3 linked regions of the Schizosaccharomyces pombe genome follow. The gene in region 2 interacts genetically with the main gene of each other region. Each region holds a gene or a part of one and is shown on either strand. Other genes may lie near its edges.

What was found. Genes that interact genetically often act in the same process or in processes that back each other up.
Region 1: mutations in SPOM_SPAC144.17C (region 2) and gld1 together harm fitness more than expected from each alone (negative genetic interaction), as found in Schizosaccharomyces pombe (one large-scale study listed by BioGRID).
Region 3: mutations in SPOM_SPAC144.17C (region 2) and knk1 together harm fitness more than expected from each alone (negative genetic interaction), as found in Schizosaccharomyces pombe (one large-scale study listed by BioGRID).

Annotation. Positions count from the first base shown.
Region 1 is NC_003424.3:2,173,295-2,179,866, forward strand, and holds gld1 (glycerol dehydrogenase Gld1), read right to left. Parts: upstream 3,279-6,572; 5' UTR 3,067-3,278; coding exon 1,714-3,066; 3' UTR 1,347-1,713; downstream 1-1,346. Other genes in the region: transcription factor TFIID complex subunit Taf7, read right to left, coding at 1-89, 131-458; vta1 (Vts1 family protein), read right to left, coding at 4,288-5,061, 5,399-5,593, 5,726-5,823, 6,086-6,188. UniProt on the Schizosaccharomyces pombe protein: Glycerol dehydrogenase involved in the assimilation of glycerol.
Region 2 is NC_003424.3:4,684,723-4,692,284, forward strand, and holds SPOM_SPAC144.17C (6-phosphofructo-2-kinase), read right to left. Parts: upstream 4,432-7,562; 5' UTR 4,110-4,431; coding exon 3,791-4,109; exon of another isoform or gene 3,741-3,790; coding exon 2,800-3,740; exon of another isoform or gene 2,756-2,799; coding exon 2,666-2,755; 3' UTR 2,380-2,665; coding exon of another isoform or gene 1,840-2,379; 3' UTR 1,580-1,839; downstream 1-1,579. Other genes in the region: COG complex subunit Cog1, read right to left, coding at 1-659; cia2 (sister chromatid cohesion protein), read left to right, coding at 1,840-2,379; GDP-mannose transporter Vrg4, read left to right, coding at 5,448-6,485; cytoplasmic translation release factor class I eRF1, read left to right, coding at 7,205-7,562.
Region 3 is NC_003423.3:678,557-686,265, forward strand, and holds knk1 (AAA family ATPase), read right to left. Parts: upstream 4,111-7,709; 5' UTR 4,071-4,110; coding exon 2,715-4,070; intron 2,683-2,714; exon of another isoform or gene 2,667-2,682; coding exon 2,258-2,666; intron 2,211-2,257; coding exon 1,993-2,210; 3' UTR 1,347-1,992; downstream 1-1,346. Other genes in the region: AP-1 adaptor complex beta subunit Apl2, read right to left, coding at 1-1,078; decaprenyl diphosphate synthase subunit Dps1, read left to right, coding at 5,587-6,561, 6,643-6,804.

The sequences.
Region 1 (6,572 bases), 2.5 Mb from region 2:
TGATTTATTAGATTCTATGATGCATGGCAAATCAACTAACTTCGCAGCGTACAAATGACCATTAACATGAACAACCGCTCTTCTTTGATCTAACTCTGTTAATAATAATATAGTGTAACCAAGTCATTACCTTTGAACTTCACCCATATGTCTGCACCTCGTCCCACTTCCCTATTTTCAATTGCTTTTCGAACATACTCACAATCTTCACCAGGAGGAAGACGTAATATAATTTGTTCTTCAATATAAGTGTCTTCTTCTCTGTCAGAAGCTTCTGAATCATATCCTAAGCCAGGTTCGCGAACTCTTTTTAACCGAATTTTTGTCAATCGAGGGCCTTTAGGTTCACGTGTCTTGATCTTAATTTTAGGAATTGGGGGAGGAGGACCAGTGGCTGGAGTGCTAGATCGTGAATCATTTGGAGGAGGCTGAACAGCACGAATTTTTAGCTTAACCATTTTCGAAAACCGCCTTTTGAGTAATTGTCGTTGGCAAACGCTCGATTAGCAAGTCGCTAAACCTTCAAGTGAGTCTCGTTATCTACTACTAACGAGCCATAGTGATTTACAACATTTTTTTAATACAATCGTTATCTGCAAACACCTGTCAGCTACGCAGTTTGGTATCTATTTAACGATTCATAGAACTGCGGTGAGTTTCTCTTGCGACCTACAGTATAGCGGTATGTGGTATGTTTAACTAACAATGTATATTTGTTACTATAAGAAGTCCATTAGTATCGATCACCGACATAGCTAAACTACTGAACTGAGGAACAAGGTTCGGCAGTAGCCCTATTTATAGTATTCAGATAATAAAAATATTAATAGATTATTATTAAGGTCAATCTCAATACTGTTTCATACAACGATGAATGATTAGGACATGTGTCATATAGTGATACTCAACGTAGTGTATCCTTGAGTAATGTATTGTTGACAACACTACTTATTTATCCCACAGTAAACAATGTAAATAAAGCGCGAAATTGTTGATCGATGCAAAGGTTAAGGTAAAAAGGGTTTTCAATGTAGCTAGGAATCCGGGATTTACTCACTTATTATACCATTTGTAGCATACTAATCATATTGAGTTAGCATATAATATAATAACAACGAATGTTTGACAAGGCCACTAGCGACAATTGTATAATACGTGAAAACAAATCACTTTAGTTATTTAAAGTTTTCTAACATAGGAACATTATTAATTGTAATTACATTTAAAACTTTTGAAATCTATCACAATAAAAAGCGATTGCAAAAAAAAAAAAAAAAAAAGGAAGCAACACAGATGATGTGCATTGTAACAAATAGATCAATTACGGTGAACAACTTTAATACAATACAACTAACAACGATAAAACATTCATTTGAAAAGGGGAACAATTTTTTTCATTCGTAACAAAAATAAAGCAAATTATTCATGAAGTTATAAGGGGCGTAAAAAACTTTGGAGTAGGCCGAAAAGGTTGATCATTAAATCACTAGATTAACGGGAAAAGCTTACAACTTTTTTAAAAAAATAAAAAAAAGGAAGAAAGAAAAAAGGTAAAAAAAGTTCCAAGAGGAAAGGAAGCACACGAAATAAAAGACTACTATAGAAAAAAAAACACTCAGGACATTAATGATCAATGAAGAAAACCCGCTTAAAAATTTCTTTTCTTCTTTTGGATTTACTAGGGAAAATTGAAGCTGGGGATAAAAATAATGCCTATGGATGAATGTCGGTCAAGTGAGGACTATGACGAGAAGGGGGTAATCTAAAACGCTCGGTCCATCCAGTTTGTTCTTGCCATTTTTGTGAATAGGAGTCAACGGCTTTAATAGCGTCAGCAATTTGAGATGGATTGAACTTCTTTGACATGTTGTGAATACTCTCATCAGGTCGCAAAGTAGCTCTACCTACCATCAATAACTCTTCATCGGTTACGTTGGGAATACCAAGTTCCTCAAGGGTAATGGGAAGATGACATTTTGCCATAAAAGAAGCAAGATTATTGAAGTCTTCCAACGGCCAATCCTCCAAAACAACTTGAACTAAGGTACCGTAAGCAACCTTTTCACCATGCATTAAACGATGAACGGGACCGTGGATGGCGGTCATACCGTTATGGATGGCATGAGCAGCAGCAAGACCACCGTTTTCAAAGCCTAGACCAGACATCAATGTGTTGGCCTCGACCACGTTCTCAAATGCCTCGGTACAAACACCGCGAGTGTTGGAAAGAATAGCGCTCAGGGCATACTTTTCAAGAGTGTCTTTGCAAGCACGGGCAATGTAACGGCCAGCAATGGAGGCCACACCTCCGGCAAAGGAAGTGGAATTTGAGCGAATAACGGATTCAGTTTCCACCCAGGTGGACAAAGCATCACCAATGCCACTAATAAGGAAGCGGACGGGAGCGCGAACAATCACATCGGTATCGATGAAAATGAGGTTGGGATTAAGGGGGTAAAAGCTGTATTTTTGGAATTGACCGTCAGGAGTGTAAATGACGGAAAGAGAGGAAGTAGCGGCATCAGAGGAGGCAGTAGTAGGACAAATGATGGATGGAAGATTCATGGAATGAGCAATATACTTTGCGGAATCCATGGTTTTACCACCACCAACTCCAATGATGACTTGAGTATCATCAGGGCACTGTTTGCGAAGTTTATCCAGTTCCACCAAGCTTGCCTCGCCGCCAAAGACCAGTTTGGTGACAGTCATTCCGTTTTGAGAAAGAGAATCGACAATTTTATTGGCACAAATGTTCCATACGTTCTGGTCGGCAAGCACGACAGCTGATTTAGTGGCCCATTTTTTGACATACATATAGGATCTAGTGAAGGCATGACGACCCTGAACATACTTTTGAGGAGAGGTGAAAATGCGATCTTTGGATTCTTCAAACTCTACACCAACTTTGTGAGGCGTCTCCGTTTCAATAGGAGCATAAAAGCGTTTGCCCCAACGTTGTGCAACGGCATTGGAAGAGGCGAGCGCAAATACTTTAGAGTTCCTGTGGGCGAGGGAAACGAGAGGGAAGCGAGGGGTTGCAGCGCAAAGACGAGGACCAATCATTATGAAGGAAGTTCAAAGACTAGCTAAGCGTTACGAATAGAAATCGAATCAAATCGAAGAAAAGAGAAATACAAGAATAGGCGTGTGGAACGGTTCTTACCTTTCTTGAAATTTATTTCGATACAGAAGAATCCTTATTTAAAAAGAAAAAGGAAATAGGTAAAGAAGCACAAGTAACTAAGAAGGAGAGAAACGCAATGGAACAGAGGTCCAAAAAGAAAAAACAACTATATGTGTATATATATACTTGTTTGCGGAATCAATAGACAGTCGAAAGATCACGAAAGTTCCAAGAATGAACGGGATATATGATCTCGGCTGGCCAAAAAAAAAGGGATCGACGTAGTCAATGGTGATTGTCAAAACTAGAATCAGCCGATCGACGGTAAACGGGAAGAGTAGGAAGAATGAAAAGAGAAAAAATATTTAAAAATTAAAGCAACGAAAGTTGATTAAAAAAATAATTAAAGAAAAGAAAAAAAAACCCAAGTGGTAGTGAAAACTTGCTATGGTTTTATTTTACAATGGAAAAAGCAATTCTGTTAAAAAAAGAAGAGAAGAGAAGAGGTGGATGGATGGATGGATGGATGGGGGAAATATGGAAAACTGCGAAAGCAATAACCAAGAGCAAAGAATTCAGCGCTGCCCCTCTACATATAAACTTGATGAGAGGGCGATGACACCACACATATCCACCGCAATTGCCAGTTCCCCACTGCGGAAGCCAAACCCAAGCAGACAGGAAAATAACGTAACAAAAGATGAGGCAGGATAAACCCATGACTCGTTGGTCTCATAACTGCGTCATAGGGGCAAGAAAGACAACGTGGTATGCAGTACAAGACAAAAGCTTACTTGCTGAAAATCTGGGGAAATATATACAACAGCAGTCATTCGCCAGTTCCTTAATAAACGCTCGCTAAAATGACGCGACAAAAAATGAGGAGACAGGGATGAGCAGTGCCACTCAACGGCGAGGGAAAATGGGAAGAGTGGAGAGAAAGGCGGGGTCCTGCTACAATTAGAAAGCATTTGAAGAAAAAAAAGTGGATAAAAAAAAAACAAACAAATAAACAAACATTAAGAGAGACGAATAGTGGGGAGAGTGGTACAATTAGATTGTTTCTCCCCAAGATGGATAGATAATTTTACTGGTATCTGCCCCACCTTTTCCCATTGTCTCATTGAGATCCCCTCCATTCCAGCCCCAGCATTCTTCCTCTAGTCTGCAGTATGATTTCCCTGCTCCTCTTCCTCCAAAAGTTTTAGTGCCGACTTTAGATGATGAATGGCTGTCGTTGTGTCTTCGTAGTCTAATGCACTGTATGCATAGCGTGCATGACTTCGAGCAGATTGGATAGCCTCCAAGGCGGAAAACTTGTTCAAGGGGGAGGCTTTAGTCGGTTGAGATGGCCTTGATAGAGGGGCATTTGTTCTTGTTGTGGCTAAAGTTGACTTGCTGGAAAATGCTACTGACGGATCGATGGAGGTGGAGGTGGTGGTGATTGACGTAGGGGAGGGAGGCCGATGCCCATCTGATGTTTGCTTTGACTCAGGAGATAAACTTTGGATATGCGAGGAAGAGCGAGTGGAACGAGTAGGATCTATTGTTGGCAAATTTTCGGTTATTGATGTAGTTGAGGGGAACGTGGTAGGCTCATATGAATGGGAAGGTGAATTTAGTTGTGGAGCAGCCGGTGTTGAAGACAACGATTTTACGTCTGCTTCTACATTAGGCTCGGAAGATACGGCTGCAGACTTTGTAGGAGAGATGGAGAGCGATGCTGCTGGAGATGTAGTGGGGAGAGCAAAAGATGTTTCATGAGAAGCAGAGGCATTCGTTTCAACGGCGGCTTCTTGCGTAGGTAGGGTTGTGGAATTTGTGGAAGATTGCTGTAACTCCTCGGTCGCGTGGTTTGAGGGTGTTTTGGCCTTTCGTTGGGGATTTGCGACTTGGAGCGCACGTAACTTGCAAAATTTGATTGACTTGGTAATCTACGTAGCAATAGGGGTTAGTAGGGAACAAAAAATCGTTATAAGCATCATAAAGCATCGTTGTATAATACAAACGAGAGAGAAAAATACCGATAGGAAGGAAATCCTCAGAATGGCAAAAGAAGAAACGAGTCGAAAAAAAAAACACATGGTAATGTGAATTGGAAAAGACGATTTTGTTTTTGACAAAACAAAAATAAAAAATAAAAAAATTTCCAAAGAACCTTCATTTTTTCATTTTTGTTGATCGTGGTTTTCTTTTTTTTTTCTCCTAAGTTCTGCTCGTTACTCTTTTTCATTCCGTCTCACTTGCTCTCGCTGTTTTTGACTCACGTACCTGTTCCGTAGGTGGTCCCCAGATTCTCGACAACTCTAGAAAATCTCGGGCTGCCAAATACGCTTGCACATCTGGTTTCCCGTTTTTGCTATTTCTTTCGGCCTGGACAAGAACTTCTAGGGAAAACGATTCAACATACGCCTTTGCACTAGTCTCGTCACTCACATTCTCATTCTCGCCCAAATTTTTACGTAACTACACACGCCATAGAGCGGTTAGTACCACAGAAACATTTACATAGTTGGTCTCGTAATCCAAAAAAAAAAAAAAAGAGAAAAAACCCTCGCCAACATTTAAAAAAAGGAAAAGGATGTTTTCTAAACTTACATCTTCTAAATGCTCAATGAGTGACAGCAGGAAATCCTTGCATTCGTTGGAAACACCGTGTGAGCTGGAAAGCGCCATTTGAGCTGCCCAGTATAGACCTAGTAATAGTACAAGTTAGTGAATCAAGCAAATGAATATCTCGAATGATGAAACAAATTCCTTTGTGCTTATAATAGGGTGTATTATGGAAAGTAGTATTCCCTCTAGCGAAATGTAGACTATGAAAACTTCATCAACGTAAACAAGAGAGAAAAAAGGTTTAAGTTATTTTTTTATTATTTTATATTTTTCTTTCTCCAATTTTTTTTTTCATACACCCTTCCATATTACAAATTCATCACTTAGCTACTAAACACTTACTCCAATAAGCTATGACAGGATTGTGTGCCTCAAGTTCATTGAATCGTCTCACAAACGGTTGAATGGATTGTAATTCCTTCGGTATAGTATCTATTTGTATCATATTTTGTCAAATATCTCTCCTTTCAAGTTTCTGTACTTTTGGTTTGACAGTTGGTGGATTACAGATACCAGCTACATGATATAAAAAGGTAGATGAAGGTTAGGTCTACTCAAGTATTAAAACCATCAAGTCAATTATTCAAAAAACTCTAGTACTAATAGTTTTGACGTACAAACACTTTCTTTTCATTTGAGGGGAATCAAGTCGCATCGTTTTCATCGTGCATTTTTTGTGCCCCGCTATTCAGATTTTTCTAGTGTCTTGACATACTCTACCTATTCTATATCAAAATGATGATTTCAATAAGCCTTATAACTCATTGATTGACTAAAACCTATTATTTCTTCTAAATTTTCTCGTGACATATGCTCACTCAAACCTCAC
Region 2 (7,562 bases):
GCATCATTCAAAATAAGCAATTGATCTTCACATTCCTGTAAAAATATGTCAAGTCCCGAAGATATATTCGCCTGATTAAGCAGAATCCATGATGTGACGACTGAGACCTTTGATAAAGAAGAAGTCATCGCTTGTTTCAAACGATTATTCAGATAATTTTTACACGATTCAAGTCTATTTACTAATATGTGGCATTGGTGGTCGTTTGGTAAATCTGCAGGTAATATTCTTAGGCAGAAAATCAATAGTTTGGACGATTGCAAATATTGCTCCTTATTGAACAATTCCATCACAAACAAGATAGCATGTGCATAAAATCTCTGTAAGAATATAAAATAATCACCAGACGTTTGCGATATACTTTCATTATCGGATAGAAACTTTGAGACGCGATCCACTTTTGGTAAACTCACCATGGATTGAAATTCGTATGAGTTTTGCAAAACTTTCTCCAGATTATTTCTAATGTTAGAGAGATTTTCAGAAGCTTCAATAAAGCTTTGATAGTTAAAGCAAACATTCTGTTGCAACTCTCTTCCTTTCTCCTCAATCTGCTGGCTGACGAACTTTTCTAGTTGAATAGTTTGAGCAATGCTATGTGTTCTAAAAATTTCTTTCCAATTTGAGGAATGTGAAGACATAAGATCCGTTTCTACCATTTTAAAACTACTTCAATGAATAAGTCAACGAGGGATAAGTAATTGTACGGGTAAAAAAAATTTCAAAACAAAGTTCATAGGAAACTGAACATAGGTTGATAAAGTTAGCTGGTTTGCTTATTATTGTTTGTATGTGTAACGTACAGGAACTGCATATAACGACTATAAATAGCTTGCTTATAAACAATTTCCAATACGATTGGGTAAGAAAGAATCAACTATAGGTGTTTGACAAGGCTAGTATTTTGTATTGAATTACTATGAATTTCTGGTATCATAGTAAGTATGTAAATGAATTATGGTCATTTACATGAGTTAGTAAATCAGTTAGTGGGGTGCTCAGCATTTTCGTTAAAGAAATTACCATCGTATTGTTCATTGTCTCTCATTATTTAACAAACGCTATAAAATGCTAGTGTCCAACTATTGACACAGTGTAATTACTACTATCTATTTCAATTAAAATAAAGGCTTAGTTTCTGACTAGCATAGTATGCCAATCTATTGCTTGGATATTGGACTACAACTGTGTGTCTCCCAGTTCTAGGTAGTTGGAGTGATTATATGCCTTTTCTAGTCAGTAATAAATTTTCAAATATCTCGTATTACTTGTATGTTATGAGTATTGAAAGCTTAAGCTGAAAATACAAAACTCACACCCTTTTGAGCATGCAAGAGACTGCGATACTGAGTTTCTCTTGCGATTAATACATTTGTTTATGTAAGTATATCAATCGTAAATAGATAGTAGGCTACAATCAAAATATTGCATGGTGTTTATAATTTAATTTGAAATGATTTATTATTGGTTGCGGAACGTGGGTTTAGTTAGGCCATTTACAGTTTCTAATGTGACTATAATCACTTCAAATAAAGTATGCATATCTACCGTACAATAAGTATAAATACTTAATAAGACATATAAGAAGTACTGATAATTAACGTTCGTAGTCTAATTTACTAGGGGCTTGTCGACACGTAGCATATAGTAAAGTGTTAACGCTAACTGCATGGTAGTTGAGCGTGGCAAGTGCTGACTTTGATAACGCACTACGTAATCCAAAATGACAATTATTCATCCTGAGGTTAATTAAATTTTATGCCTTCCAAAATTCACACTATCGAAGGTGATATTCATAGTAGTCTTTAGTCATTTATTAGTTATTAATTTAAAAAAAAAATGAGTGCAAATTTACAGAACGAAAACCCGGAAGTAAAGGAGTTAAATCAATTGCCATCTAGGGTTGAAGAAGAAGAGGATCTATTGTTGAGTTCTACGAAACAATGGCTAACCGAGATTGAAAGTGAGCAGACTAACATAAAGGAAGAAAGAGATCCAATAGATCCACAAGAAATATACGACCTTCTAGCTAAAATAAATGATCCAGAACATCCATTAACTCTTGCTCAGTTATCGGTCGTCAAATTAGAAGACATTGAGGTTGTTGATAATGTTGAAGGCGATTCTTATATCACAGTTCACATTACTCCAACTATCCCTCATTGCTCTATGTGCACATTGATCGGTTTATGCATTCGAGTTCGCCTCGAACGCTGTCTTCCTCCCCGTTTTCATGTCGATGTGAAAGTTAAAAAAGGTACCCACGCGAGTGAGTCTCAAGTAAACAAACAACTGAACGATAAGGAACGAGTGGCGGCTGCCTGTGAAAATGAGCAACTTCTATCTGTTTTGAATGGAATGATGGCGACCTGTGTTTAAGCGTTTGTATATGACAATAACTTCTTAGTTTTTTAATTTTATCGGATCCCTGGTTGCTGTTCCCTTTATATGGATTGGTATATAATCTTTTTTTTTTGTTCAACGAAATCAAGACCTTTTCTTTCATTTATCACTAAAATATCACTTTACTAGTTTTGATACGACTTACAAGTAGTATTAAATTTTTGTGCACAAACTCACAATTCAATATATAATTGGTCATGCGCATTTATTAAAAACAATTAGCATTTTTTTGTCTGAGAAAACAGACATTGGAAAATGCCATTCATAAGTCATACTCATTGACTGTCATGCCGGTGCTGCTTTCGATCAATTCGTAAATTGAGGATGAAGAAAGGCATAATTGGGGGATATCCTAAATTATTTGTAAGTTGCAATGGACAATGTCAGAAATCTTACCTTAGCTGGTACATTCATATAATAACCGTAAAAAACCCGTATTATGCTTTTAGAGCCGATCAGCAAAACATCACGCTGCTCCCGACCCAATTCCAGTATTAAAGGCTCTAAACGAACAGCCAAATCATAAAATGATTCTTTCCGTTTAACTCTATATCTGTAAGGATCTACAAGGTAAAGATTATACTCTTCTTCGCCATATGTTTCTTTTAATTTCTGTAAATCGTCTCCAAATGAATCCATTAAGATCGGGGAAAGACTCGACATAGATGAGGTAACAGAACCCAGTTCTCGAAATGGACTCATTACAGAGTCCTCCATGCAGGATAATACGTGTAAGTTTTTGAAAGAAACATCTGGGAAAGATTTACGTATACGATCAGCTACATATTCAGAAAATTGGCGATTTTCTATGTCATCTTCTGGTTCTCGTAATTTTAACGGTCTCATAGAAGCTTTCGGCACCAAAAAGATACGTTTTCTCGCCAAAGTCATGTTCATGAGAAGGAACAGTATTCTAGACAATAGGTAACCTTCATTACTTTTGTTTGCGATGATGGTTTCAGCAAAATTAATCATTTTAACAAAGGAATAGTCCTTTTCATCAATGGTTTCATAATGGCATTTGAGAATATCAATTCGACGACAATATTCTTTTTCGGCCATCTCCAAATCCCAATTTCGAAATTCCTCAGAAACATGAATTGCTTCTTGAATATTCGCATTGATGACATCCTCTTTATTGCACAGACTTTCAATAAACAAGATTTTAAACCCGCAATTCTTGAACCTATCATATAAAATACGACGTGTACGTCTAGTACCATTTGTTGCATCGTAAATAGCAACCTGACCTTTCTCTTTAAGTAAAAAAATCTCTAAGTCTGCTAAACATCTCTCAATTGTGTCATTCCTACTAAAAACATGATTTTCTGATGCAGCTGTTATAAGTTAGCAAAGGTACAAAACGTCGACTATAGTTTCAGCTTACCAGATTTCACAGGCGAACTAGTCATTTCCCTAGTGCGTTCGTCTATGTATTTCGCAAGACTGTAAAATCTACAATTAAATCCCAACCACCTCAGATATCTGTCTATCGACACAGCAATATTAGACTTGCCTCTAGCCGGTAAGCCAGACATGATGATTACGAGCTTTCCGGCATGAAAGAGCATACCGCTCTCTGTACTGTAGGGTTGCACACCTCCAAACTTTTCATTATCGAGTAAGGCTTCAGAGCTTCGATTGGCAGCGCGAAGCATGTTTGGATTGATTGCCTGCTCAACCGCAATTGAATTTCTGCGCGACATCGCAACGTCTAATCAAAGCAAGCTGTTTATAATTAGAGTTTTAATATAATATATGCGATTATATATAAATTATTTATAAATTAAATAGGAAGGTCCAAAATCTGATTGAAATGTACTTAAATCCTTTGCAACCACAATGTTTACAATGTGTGCCTTGTATGTGGGTATTTTGATAAATGATTTCCACAAAGGTGAAATATGCAGAATGTTGTTTACAATGAGTGTAATACCAATTCCTACTAAAAACTGCGGTTTGCAAGAGGTCGACTGCTTATATACAGAGAAGAGCTTCTTACAATTGATATGGGCACAATGCTCGTTTAAGACGGATGGCTAAACATCGGTAGTGCTTTACGCAATACATCTGTGGTTGCACTTCGTTAATTAATTTTTAGCAAAGTTAAGCGTGCCCTAATATACCGTACATATCTGCAATTGGAAACGCCCATAGGAGTTTAAGATGCGTAGCTTTCTAATGGTGGGGTATTTTCGCATACTTATACTACATGTTTTGCATTTGCAAGTTCAGTTGATTTTTGATTATTGAAAGTGGCATTGAGAATTACTGAACACTTCCCAACAACTCATAGATTTTTTTAGCCAATTCCATGATTAAAACATGCGAGTACCTAAACGCATGTATATTATTTTATAGTTGTACTTCATCAATCGTCTTCTCTGCGTCAACACTTCTTTCTGCACTTTTACTTTTGAAATAACGTCTTAATAGCTATTATGGTTTAAAGACTAGACTATTATCTACGAAAAAGCGTTTGTAAGTAGCCCACATTGCATTCGTTTATAAATTTATAGTCCAATTGAACGAAACGAAAGATCCATGTAGAAAGGTCATTGTCTATACGGTTATACTCCAATCATCTATTATAATATGAGTCAATTCCCTTGCCTCTCTAGTTCCAACAAATGCTTAAATTGTATATGTATCTGCATCGCGACTTTATATATGATCGACTTCGACTGGAAAACGATCTTCATACACTAAGGAATTTCACAACAATTCAAACACAGCTTTTACAGTAAATGCTCATACTTTGTTGTAAAACATATGAATTGGTGTAACATTAAGTGTGGCTTGCAGGCGAAAATACTCTTTTATAGATGAACAAAAAAGTATTTAAATAATTATATTTTATATGAGAAGACCAAGTTATTTAAGTTTGATCAACAGAGATGTTAATCAATCTGTATGCCAAAACTTGTTACCAATGGACTGTGTCTTTGAGGAAGGGTAAGGCCTGTTACGTACGCGCTCCTTCCAAACATGGTGGGTAGGTATGTAGACAACTTCACCGGAGCCATCACGAAATTCCAACAACAATGGATAATCATATGCTAAACCGAATTAGTAAATCACCGATTCTTCCAGTGGTGTCATATTGCATGGCTTCCATATTGATGACTTTGACCAATAAATATGTTCTTTCGAGTCCTGGTTACAATATGAACTTTCTCCTTTTGACTGTACAATCCACTGTTTGTGTAGCAGCCATTGGGATACTAAAACGTTTGAAAGTTATTAATTATAGGGATTTTGATTTTCGTGAGGCCAAATTTTGGTTTCCTATTTCCTTTTTATTGGTAGCTATGATTTATACTGCATCGAAGGCTTTGCAATTTCTTTCTGTTCCAGTGTACACTATATTTAAGAATTTAACTATTATTATCATTGCTTATGGTGAGGTCCTTTGGTTTGGCGGGCATGTTACTGCTTTAACTCTTTTTTCTTTTGGATTAATGGTTCTTTCTTCTATTGTCGCTGCTTGGGCAGACATCCAGTCTTCCTCATTTGCTTCCCAAACCTTAAATTCTGGCTATTTATGGATGGTGCTTAACTGTCTCACAAATGCTGCTTTTGTTCTCGCGATGCGTAAGCGTATCAAACTTACCAACTTTCGTGACTTTGATACCATGTTTTATAACAACTTACTCAGTATCCCTGTTTTGGTTATCTGCACGCTCTTTACTGAGGACTGGAGTGCTGAAAACATTGCTCAAAATTTCCCTCCTGATGCCAAATTTGGTGTTCTAATGGCTATGGCTATTAGTGGTGTTTCTTCAGTAGGAATTTCTTACACCTCTGCCTGGTGTGTACGCGTAACTTCTTCGACAACTTATAGTATGGTTGGTGCTCTTAACAAACTTCCCTTGGCTATTGCCGGTTTAGTGTTTTTTGATGCACCCATCACTTTTGGATCTGTTACCGCTATTTTGTTGGGCTTTATTTCTGGTGTTGTTTATGCCGTTGCTAAATCTCAACAGCAACGTCAGAAAGATCCTGCTACCATCCTCCCTATGACTCATAATCCCGTTAGTGCTAGTTCTCAAAGCATGCGCGATAGTCTGTCAAAGTCTTAAACCCTTTGTGTTGGTTATTATTTATGTTTAATTTGCAAAATTTTTTCAAGCCTGCATAAGAGAATAGACTTTGTTTCTTTTTACTTAAAAAGTTTTTATTACCGTTACTCAAAATATACCGCTTTTACTCGTGTTCGATAAAAACCTGATTACGAGATCGTGTCGTTTATTACAACGTGACTATTAGGTTTGAAATATTTTGACAGATAAAACACTGACATTCAATTACAATTTTTAGACCTCTATTATTTCATTTCCTAAATCATTTGCTTTTTTTTTCTAAATATCATTTCTTTCTTTAAAATGCTCTCCGATGGAAAAAGGACGTCTAATGTTCTTATGTCTTCGTTTCCTTTTACTGAGCTTCTAAACTATTGGTTGAATGTTTGTCAGCCGCTTGGAGTCGAATTGTTTAGTGATTCAATTTTACTAATATTTTACCTCCAAAAAATTATTTGTTTTTTTGTATATTATTGAAATACTGTAATAAATACAAATACGATAGCTAAGTTAACGAAATGTATCGTGCTAAAAGTTTTCATAGGCCGTCACCTTTCAGTAGGCAAAAACCTACCAACTACCAAAAACGAAGTACAAGAGGTAATTCGTTGCTTGAACTGTCTGTTCAAGTTATAAAAAAATAGGATTTCGGTTTTCGGATTTTTCATAGTGTGTACAAGAACCTTGGGTATAAAAAACTTTAAAACAAATTTTACAAAATGAGTGAGACTGCTGAGAAAGCTATCGAAATTTGGAAAATTCGCCGTTTGGTAAAACAATTGATTAACTGTCATGGAAACGGCACCTCAATGATTACGTTAATTATCCCACCTGGCGAACAAATATCCAGATACAGCAATATGCTTGCCGAAGAGTATGGCACTGCCTCTAACATTAAATCTCGTGTGAATCGTTTATCAGTTCTATCTGCAATTACTTCAACTCGTGAGCGTTTGAAATTGTACAATAAAGTCCCTGATAATGGATTGGTCATTTACTGCGGTGAAGTTATAATGGAGGGCAATAAGACACGCAAGCTCAACATTGATTTCGAACCCTTCAAACCAATTAATACTT
Region 3 (7,709 bases), on a different chromosome or scaffold from region 2:
GCTCGGAAATGGTCTCGTTAATGTTTTCGTCACATGCAAGCATTGTAATTATCTTTAGTTTCTCCATTTTAATATAAAGAGGATCATTATATTTGCAGAAAAAAACCCGAGTTTTGACATCAAAAATAGAAGGCCTCTTTTGTAATATTAAATTAATGTTCCGTAAGGCTACATACTGGATTTCTGAGTCCGTAGAAAGTAGCGTCAAAAGAGGAGGAGCCATTTTTTTGTACAGAAAGTCTGTAAAGTCACTGGAAAAGAGAGGGATATGTACCATTATGACTTTCACAGCGGACAAAACGACACCACTATTTGCATGTTGGAATTGAGGAACCACCCTTTCACAAACATATTCAGCTTCCTTGATATCAGAAGTGCGAAATCTAGCTAAAGAATTCAAAATAGTAATCCGACCCCACTCATTACACTCACTCAAAGCAACCATTAGCCTGTCTGTCATCGTGTAAACTACATTAAAATATCCCTTTTCAGGGTCCTGATCATGAATTTCAGCAAGTGAGCGGACTGCATTAGCCACAACCACAGGATTCGGATCAGATACCAACGCCTGCAATTGTTCGATGAAACCATTTGATGCACAGTATTCTCGATCAAGGTCATACATCTTTACAACACAAACCGCTGCAGCCTTACGAACATAGGGATGCTCATCCTTCAAAGCTTTTCGCAACGGATCTGCCAAATAGCCAATGATTTTATTTACCCGAATGCAACCCATAGTTCTAATTGCCAGAGCTCGTAAAGTAGGATTATATTCCTCAGAATCCTTTACAAAAGTATTAACGGCTAAAATACAAAGATCAGGGTGTGTTTTGGCATAGTTAATTAGATATAAATAAACCAGTTTTTTCAAGGTGATATCGCGAGTAGCTAGGTTCTTTAAAACATCGGGAAACAGACTAGACACATCCTTGCCAACAGTCATTGCGGCAATAGTCCGTTTCACAGCATCAATTCTCTCGTAGGCATACTGAGAAACTAGTCCCTTTTGTAATTCACTTGTTTCGCTTTTTTTAAATGCCTTAAAACGGCTCGATTGAAACAACTTTGGAACCATTCGGTACTATTGTATAATTCCGCTCTTTATGTAGCTCTTTTAAAGGTGGTAAACGTCCTAAGGTCAAAAACACGTTTACATATATAAAGCAGTGGTTCAATAATCATGTCAAGTCAAACCCATTCGGTGAGAAACACCCACTCCCAGAAGTAACAAAGGTGACAATATCGAATACTGAAATCCAATTTCTATATATTCATGATTTCATTTTCAACCTGCAATGCTTTAAACGCTACTATTATGACCTTTAAATAAATTTTAAAACATTTAATTCAGTATACAAACAAGAGGTTGAAATGTTATTTCAATAAAAGCTATAAGTTAATTGCCGTAAAAATGCGATTCAAGTAAAGCAATACCCTTTTCCAAACATTAAATAACTAATAATTATTGTTCAAAATTGGAGAATAGTGAAGGGAAAAAAAGTAGCCCAATAGGTTGAGGCTGTATGTAAACGAAATAAATATGACGATAAATGGAAAAAATAAAATAAAGAGAATTGATGGAAAATACAAAAGGGGAGCATTTGTAAAAGGCGCTGTCAAGTCGGCTATGATTTAAAATGTCGTTTATAGCGATAGTCAAATCACGAATACATTTTAGTTGTTGTAGGAAAGACGAAAATAAAATGAAGGTAAACAGAAATTAAAATTCGTAATAAGCCAAGTTTATGCAAAAGAAAGTTATTGAAACCACATGAAAATCAGCATCCACGATTCAATCCCTAAATGCACGGTAATTCTCATAATATCCAGAAAAACGATACCCAAATGATTCGTTAAGAAACATTAAAGGATAAAATTAAAAAGAGAGAAAGGAAGTTTGAATAAATTAAAGGATACCCTGCCTTTTTGATGCAAAAGAATATATGATTTCTTGAAAATATTAAAGGTAGAATACTCTACAAAGTTGTTTTAACGTTGCGAACCAAATTGTTTATTCCACTCTTCGTAACGATGAATACCCTCTTGTGAGACACTTGGACGAATAGTACGAAGGCTAGCTTTAAAATGATTCAAGCTGATCGGAGGTATCATCTCTGCACTGGTGGTAAGTAGAGCATCACCCAAGTTTCTTAAAGGACCCATTGCTGCGTCTTTGGCTAAAGCAGTGATATCAGAGCCTGAATAACCTAGATGGCGTTAGTTAACTAACCAATCGAATTATTTATATACATACCTTCGGTAAGATTGACAAGTTCTTCCAGATCCTCCTCCGTCAAACAGTGTACTTGATTATGAAGCAAATGAGAAAGATGTTTATATCTTGTTTCTTTTTCAGGTAACGGAATATAGGTTCTTTTAACGAATCGGCGTCGAGCAGCCTCATCAATACACCACGGAAGATTTGTAGCTGCCAGCACCAAAACACGGGGAGAGTGACCAGTTTGCTTGTCCGGAGCCGCATTAGTTAACGAAGACCATTGAATTAAAAATTCTGTTTTTAATCTACGAGAGCTCTCGTGCTCATTACCGCTGTCATTACGAGCGGAAAGAATGGAATCAATTTCATCAACAAAGATAACGCTACATGTCTGGCGCTTCGCAACTTCAAAAAGGGCTCGAACCAACTTTTCAGAATCACCAAGCTAAATCAAGGTTAGTTAAGAATGGGGTTAAATATAAAACTTGCTTACATATTTCGAGGTTAATGATGAAGCCGAAATCGAAAAAAATGTGGCTTTCGCTTCGGTCGCAACAGCACGAGCAAGCATGGTTTTGCCGGTGCCAGGGGGGCCAAAAAGAAGCATGCCTTGTACGGGTTCACGCAATCCTTGGAAAAGTTCCGGGCGTAAAAACGGATAAATGACTGCCTCTTTCAAGGAATTTTTAGCGTCATCTAATCCGGCAATGTCCGACCAGTAGACAGGTTCATGGTTAGAAATAATTTCATTCATAATAGCATATTCAAAATCACTTGAAGGAGTGGTCTGTTGAAGAGGTTCAGTTTGTTGAGTAGTACTAGCTGAGATAGTTTTTGACACAATTGTCTTAGAATCAGCGGTTGCCGGAGGAGATGTAGCAGGTGATCCGGCTGTGTCAGCGGAAGACGGTCGAGTGGAAGAACCAAGGGTATCATGAGAAGAGTTTAAGTATGGTTTATATGGGCTAGGATGCTTGCGCGATTTTCCATCGCTGGATGAATGCGATGCAGACGTAAGGGGGACGGCAGGAACATGGAGTGGAGGAATTGGCGCATGGAAGGAGAGGGGAGTGCTATTGTTAGCATTTTGATTGTTTGACACCTGAATAGAAGGGCTAGATACCGAATTGGAAAGCGTCGGTTTAGTCGTAGACTGACTTTTCATAGCGGTAGGAAAAGTGGTGGAATTCATGGTAGCAGAACGACCTGTATCAGAAGAAAGAGCAGAAGCAGAAGCGGCAGCACTCTTAGAAGCAGCAGCAATGGCCGAAGCAGAAGAATTGAAAGAGGCAAAGGGATCTTCGGGTTTGAGGGGTGGAGAACGGTTTGGCTTAGAGGGTGCCAGATAAGAAGGTGCATCTCCATAGGAAGAAGAAACAATGGATGAAGTGGAGGTAGAAGGAGGCGAATGCTTGGAATATATTTGCTTAGGCGTAGATAAATTTACCTCCGACTGCGCACCTCTCGTCTGTCTGTACATCATCCTAGTAGTCATGGGGGTATACGCAGGTGTTTGAGATCTTACTGGACGTAAGGGGTGAAGATCAACGGGCGCCTTCTTTGAAAGTTTGGCTGCAAGTTGATAATTTTGCCTTTCCATTTCACTTTCCAAAATCGTCTTACGCAGCTTGCTTGCCTTGCTCAAACAGTTGTCATAGAGCCCGTTCCAAGAACATGCCTCTGCGCCCGTCAAAGGTCCCAATCCCATGCGATCGCGAGCTGCCGACGACTTCTTCATCTCCTCTAAAACCTTGCAGTAACTCACATACGCACCAGCCCAATCCCTATTTCCTTCACACAATAATGCTCTTGATGCTATCGGTAGTATTCTATCCAAGTCTGAGTCCATTTTCCGCAGTCGACTCGTCAATGGCTTTTTTGCTTTTGGCAAGTTCAAATGTCAAAAGTGCTGTCTTGTCGTTAAAAATCCCATAGAATGTTCGAAGTAACGCTGTTACTTTTCAGCCACTGGTTTTCTTTCATCTCTTCAAAAGCTATTTGATAAGGAATTCGTATTGGAGAAAATCATTTTATTCATAGATTCAATAGATGAGTAAATATCTTTCTTTCACACTCTTTTTTTTTTCCCGCTAATTCGCAAATCCGGAAATTTGTTTACAACAAAAAACGTATTATTAACGATATTAATCATTTCATCGCTATGCTAGTAGTGTGGATTAGAGAGCACTTTAAAATCGAGCGCCTTCGACTGGCTGAAAAACAGAAGCCAAGCGGTTTTCGATGAGAACAAATTTGCGAAAATTTAAGTATCTTTTGATATACCTACAAATTCTAAAAAAAATTTCTCTAGTTGAACTTAACGCTCAAATAGAGCTTTTTTTAAGAATACTTGAGGCCCGGGAGATGTAAACAGATCAGCTATGTCTGAAAGGAACGGGATGGCACTTAATGTTGATAAATTTTTTATTTTTTAAATTCTTGAAGTGAATGGTGAAAAAAGTCGGGCGCCTAATCGTTAAAAGCCTTCAAAAGTCAAAATGTGATAAAACAAATATGAATGTAACGTTTTGTACTACAATGACAATAATCTTAGCAGGCGAATCGTTTTGTAGACTAGAAAAGTACGTAATTTATTTTTATTAAATGATCCTACAAATACTAAAACTTGTAAAAATGCTTTTAAGCAATTTCTGATCAATTAAAATTTCACGCATGTCAAACCATTTAGAAATGTTTATGTTGTTAAAGCAGTGTTACAAAGCTATTAAAATACCTAAAAAATATCAACAATGTATTCGTAAATTCCTAGAACCAATAATTGTTCAAGTAAGATGAGAAACTCTTGGAAGATCAACACATATAGAGGATTCCCTGAAGCTGTTATATTAACTTCGCCAAAAAAAAATTAGTTGTAGTATAAGATTCATTTACTTATCTAAATATTCTGCTTTTGAGTATTCAACCAAGTAGCACTTCTCCCATCGAATATTGAAGCAATTTGGAAGTATAAATTGTTTTGATTATTGTGTCGTATAAAAAATGATACACGGGAGAGATGCATATGCAAATAGATCTGTGAATTTTATTGTTAACTGATTTGATGTATAAGCTGTTGTAAGTTTTGATAATGAATTTGGCCTCTGAGGAAGATGCTCAATATCCTGCTTGACTCAACAGAATTCTTCAGAAAAAATACTTAAGATCAGAATGGTATGAAGAAAAAACGATAATTAAAAAATGTTTTGTTTGTTTACAAACTATTTAATGATTCTTCCGTTCTTTGAAATAAACTTATCTGATCAAAGCGACGTCATATCTAAGCGAAATCACGGTAAATACCATGATATACAAACCATCCCAACTCTAACTTCATCATTTAGTTACTTTTGAAAATAAGAAATGAAATGATTCAGTATGTATATTTAAAACATATGAGGAAATTATGGAGTCTTGGAAAAGTCCGTTCGACTGTTCTTCGGTTTTCTACTACGAACCGCAATGCTTCACATTTAATTAAAAACGAGTTGGAACAAATCTCACCAGGGATTCGTCAAATGCTGAATTCAAATTCAGAATTTCTTGAAGAGTGTTCTAAATATTATACCATTGCTCAAGGAAAACAAATGCGTCCTTCTCTTGTTTTGCTGATGTCCAAAGCTACAAGCTTGTGCCATGGTATTGATCGGTCCGTAGTGGGCGACAAATATATTGATGATGATGATTTAAGATCATTTTCGACGGGTCAAATTCTTCCTTCTCAATTGAGATTAGCACAAATAACCGAGATGATCCATATAGCAAGTTTGCTGCATGACGATGTGATTGATCACGCTAATGTCCGTAGAGGCTCACCTTCAAGCAATGTTGCTTTCGGTAATCGACGGTCAATCCTTGCGGGTAATTTCATCCTTGCACGGGCTTCGACTGCTATGGCCCGCCTTCGAAATCCCCAAGTTACGGAGTTGTTAGCTACAGTGATAGCAGACTTGGTTCGAGGTGAGTTTTTGCAGCTAAAAAATACTATGGATCCTTCATCTTTGGAAATAAAACAATCAAATTTTGACTATTATATTGAAAAAAGTTTTTTGAAAACAGCCAGTTTAATTTCCAAAAGCTGCAAGGCTTCTACAATCCTCGGACAATGTTCTCCTACTGTAGCAACAGCTGCTGGAGAATACGGTCGATGCATTGGTACTGCTTTTCAACTAATGGATGACGTGTTGGACTATACGTCGAAAGATGATACTTTAGGAAAGGCGGCTGGTGCAGATTTGAAGCTAGGGTTGGCTACAGCTCCCGTCCTCTTTGCATGGAAAAAGTATCCAGAACTTGGTGCAATGATTGTGAATAGATTCAATCATCCTTCTGATATCCAACGGGTAAGAGAAGCTGAAGTTTTATTTATTTATTTGATTTCCTTTTCTCTATCGTTAATTTTCAATTGCTAACATATAATTTAGGCTCGTTCTTTGGTTGAGTGCACTGATGCTATCGAGCAAACCATCACTTGGGCAAAAGAATATATCAAAAAAGCCAAAGATTCCCTTCTGTGTCTCCCTGATTCACCTGCAAGGAAGGCACTTTTTGCGTTGGCTGATAAAGTAATAACGAGAAAGAAGTGACGAGTTTAGTACGCTGCATCTTTAACTATTAGATAAAGGCCTCTTTTTCTTATTCTCGAAAAATTTAAAACAATTAGGTTTAATTATATATACGACTTTGGTAGACCGAGTTGAATTACCGCTCTTAATAGAGCAGTGAAAATATTACTAATATGCGCTGCCTTGATTGGTTTTTCTTCCATAAATGATTTCAGGTTATTACAAAGTGAACGACAACTGCCAACGAATGCAATGATTTTATAACGACATTGCAAGCCACTAATGATACTGTCTATAAAAATTGGACTTCAATAAATAAACCAAGCACTTCGTAATAACTATTCTTGACTAGTGTTATAGTCTTTGTGATCTCGCTGCTCAAATGTCAGATGCTGATTTTGGCTCCAATTTTCTGTTTACGTTATAACAACTATCATGTAAGTTTGTCCATTACTTATATCTGGTGAAAAAGGCTGCATAACTATGGTAATACTTTTTGTCAGATCTAAAATTAGGAATCAGATTTTATCCGGTAGCTTGCTGTGCTTTCCCTGGACTGCAAAATTATTTTCACCTGTATTCTTTTACTATACCTTTTTGATAGCCTATAAACGTTGAGCGTTGAGCTTTTAAACTTACCAAAACTACAGGGCCTTCCTTCTTTCCCCAATGCTCGAATGAACTTTCGTTAGTATCAACGTTTCCTTTTGTTTAGTACCCCTATAACAATATATATAACGACCTTCTTTTTGAATAAACCATAGCAAAAGCTAAAAGTTTGGATGTATTAATGAACATTGTACACCTCAGTCAAACAACAGTAATTTGACTATTAGATGATGATCGTAATTACTATGTTAACATATATCTGATGCCTCAAAAGTGCAAGAAAATGAATAAATTTCAAATTAGTAAATAATTGACTA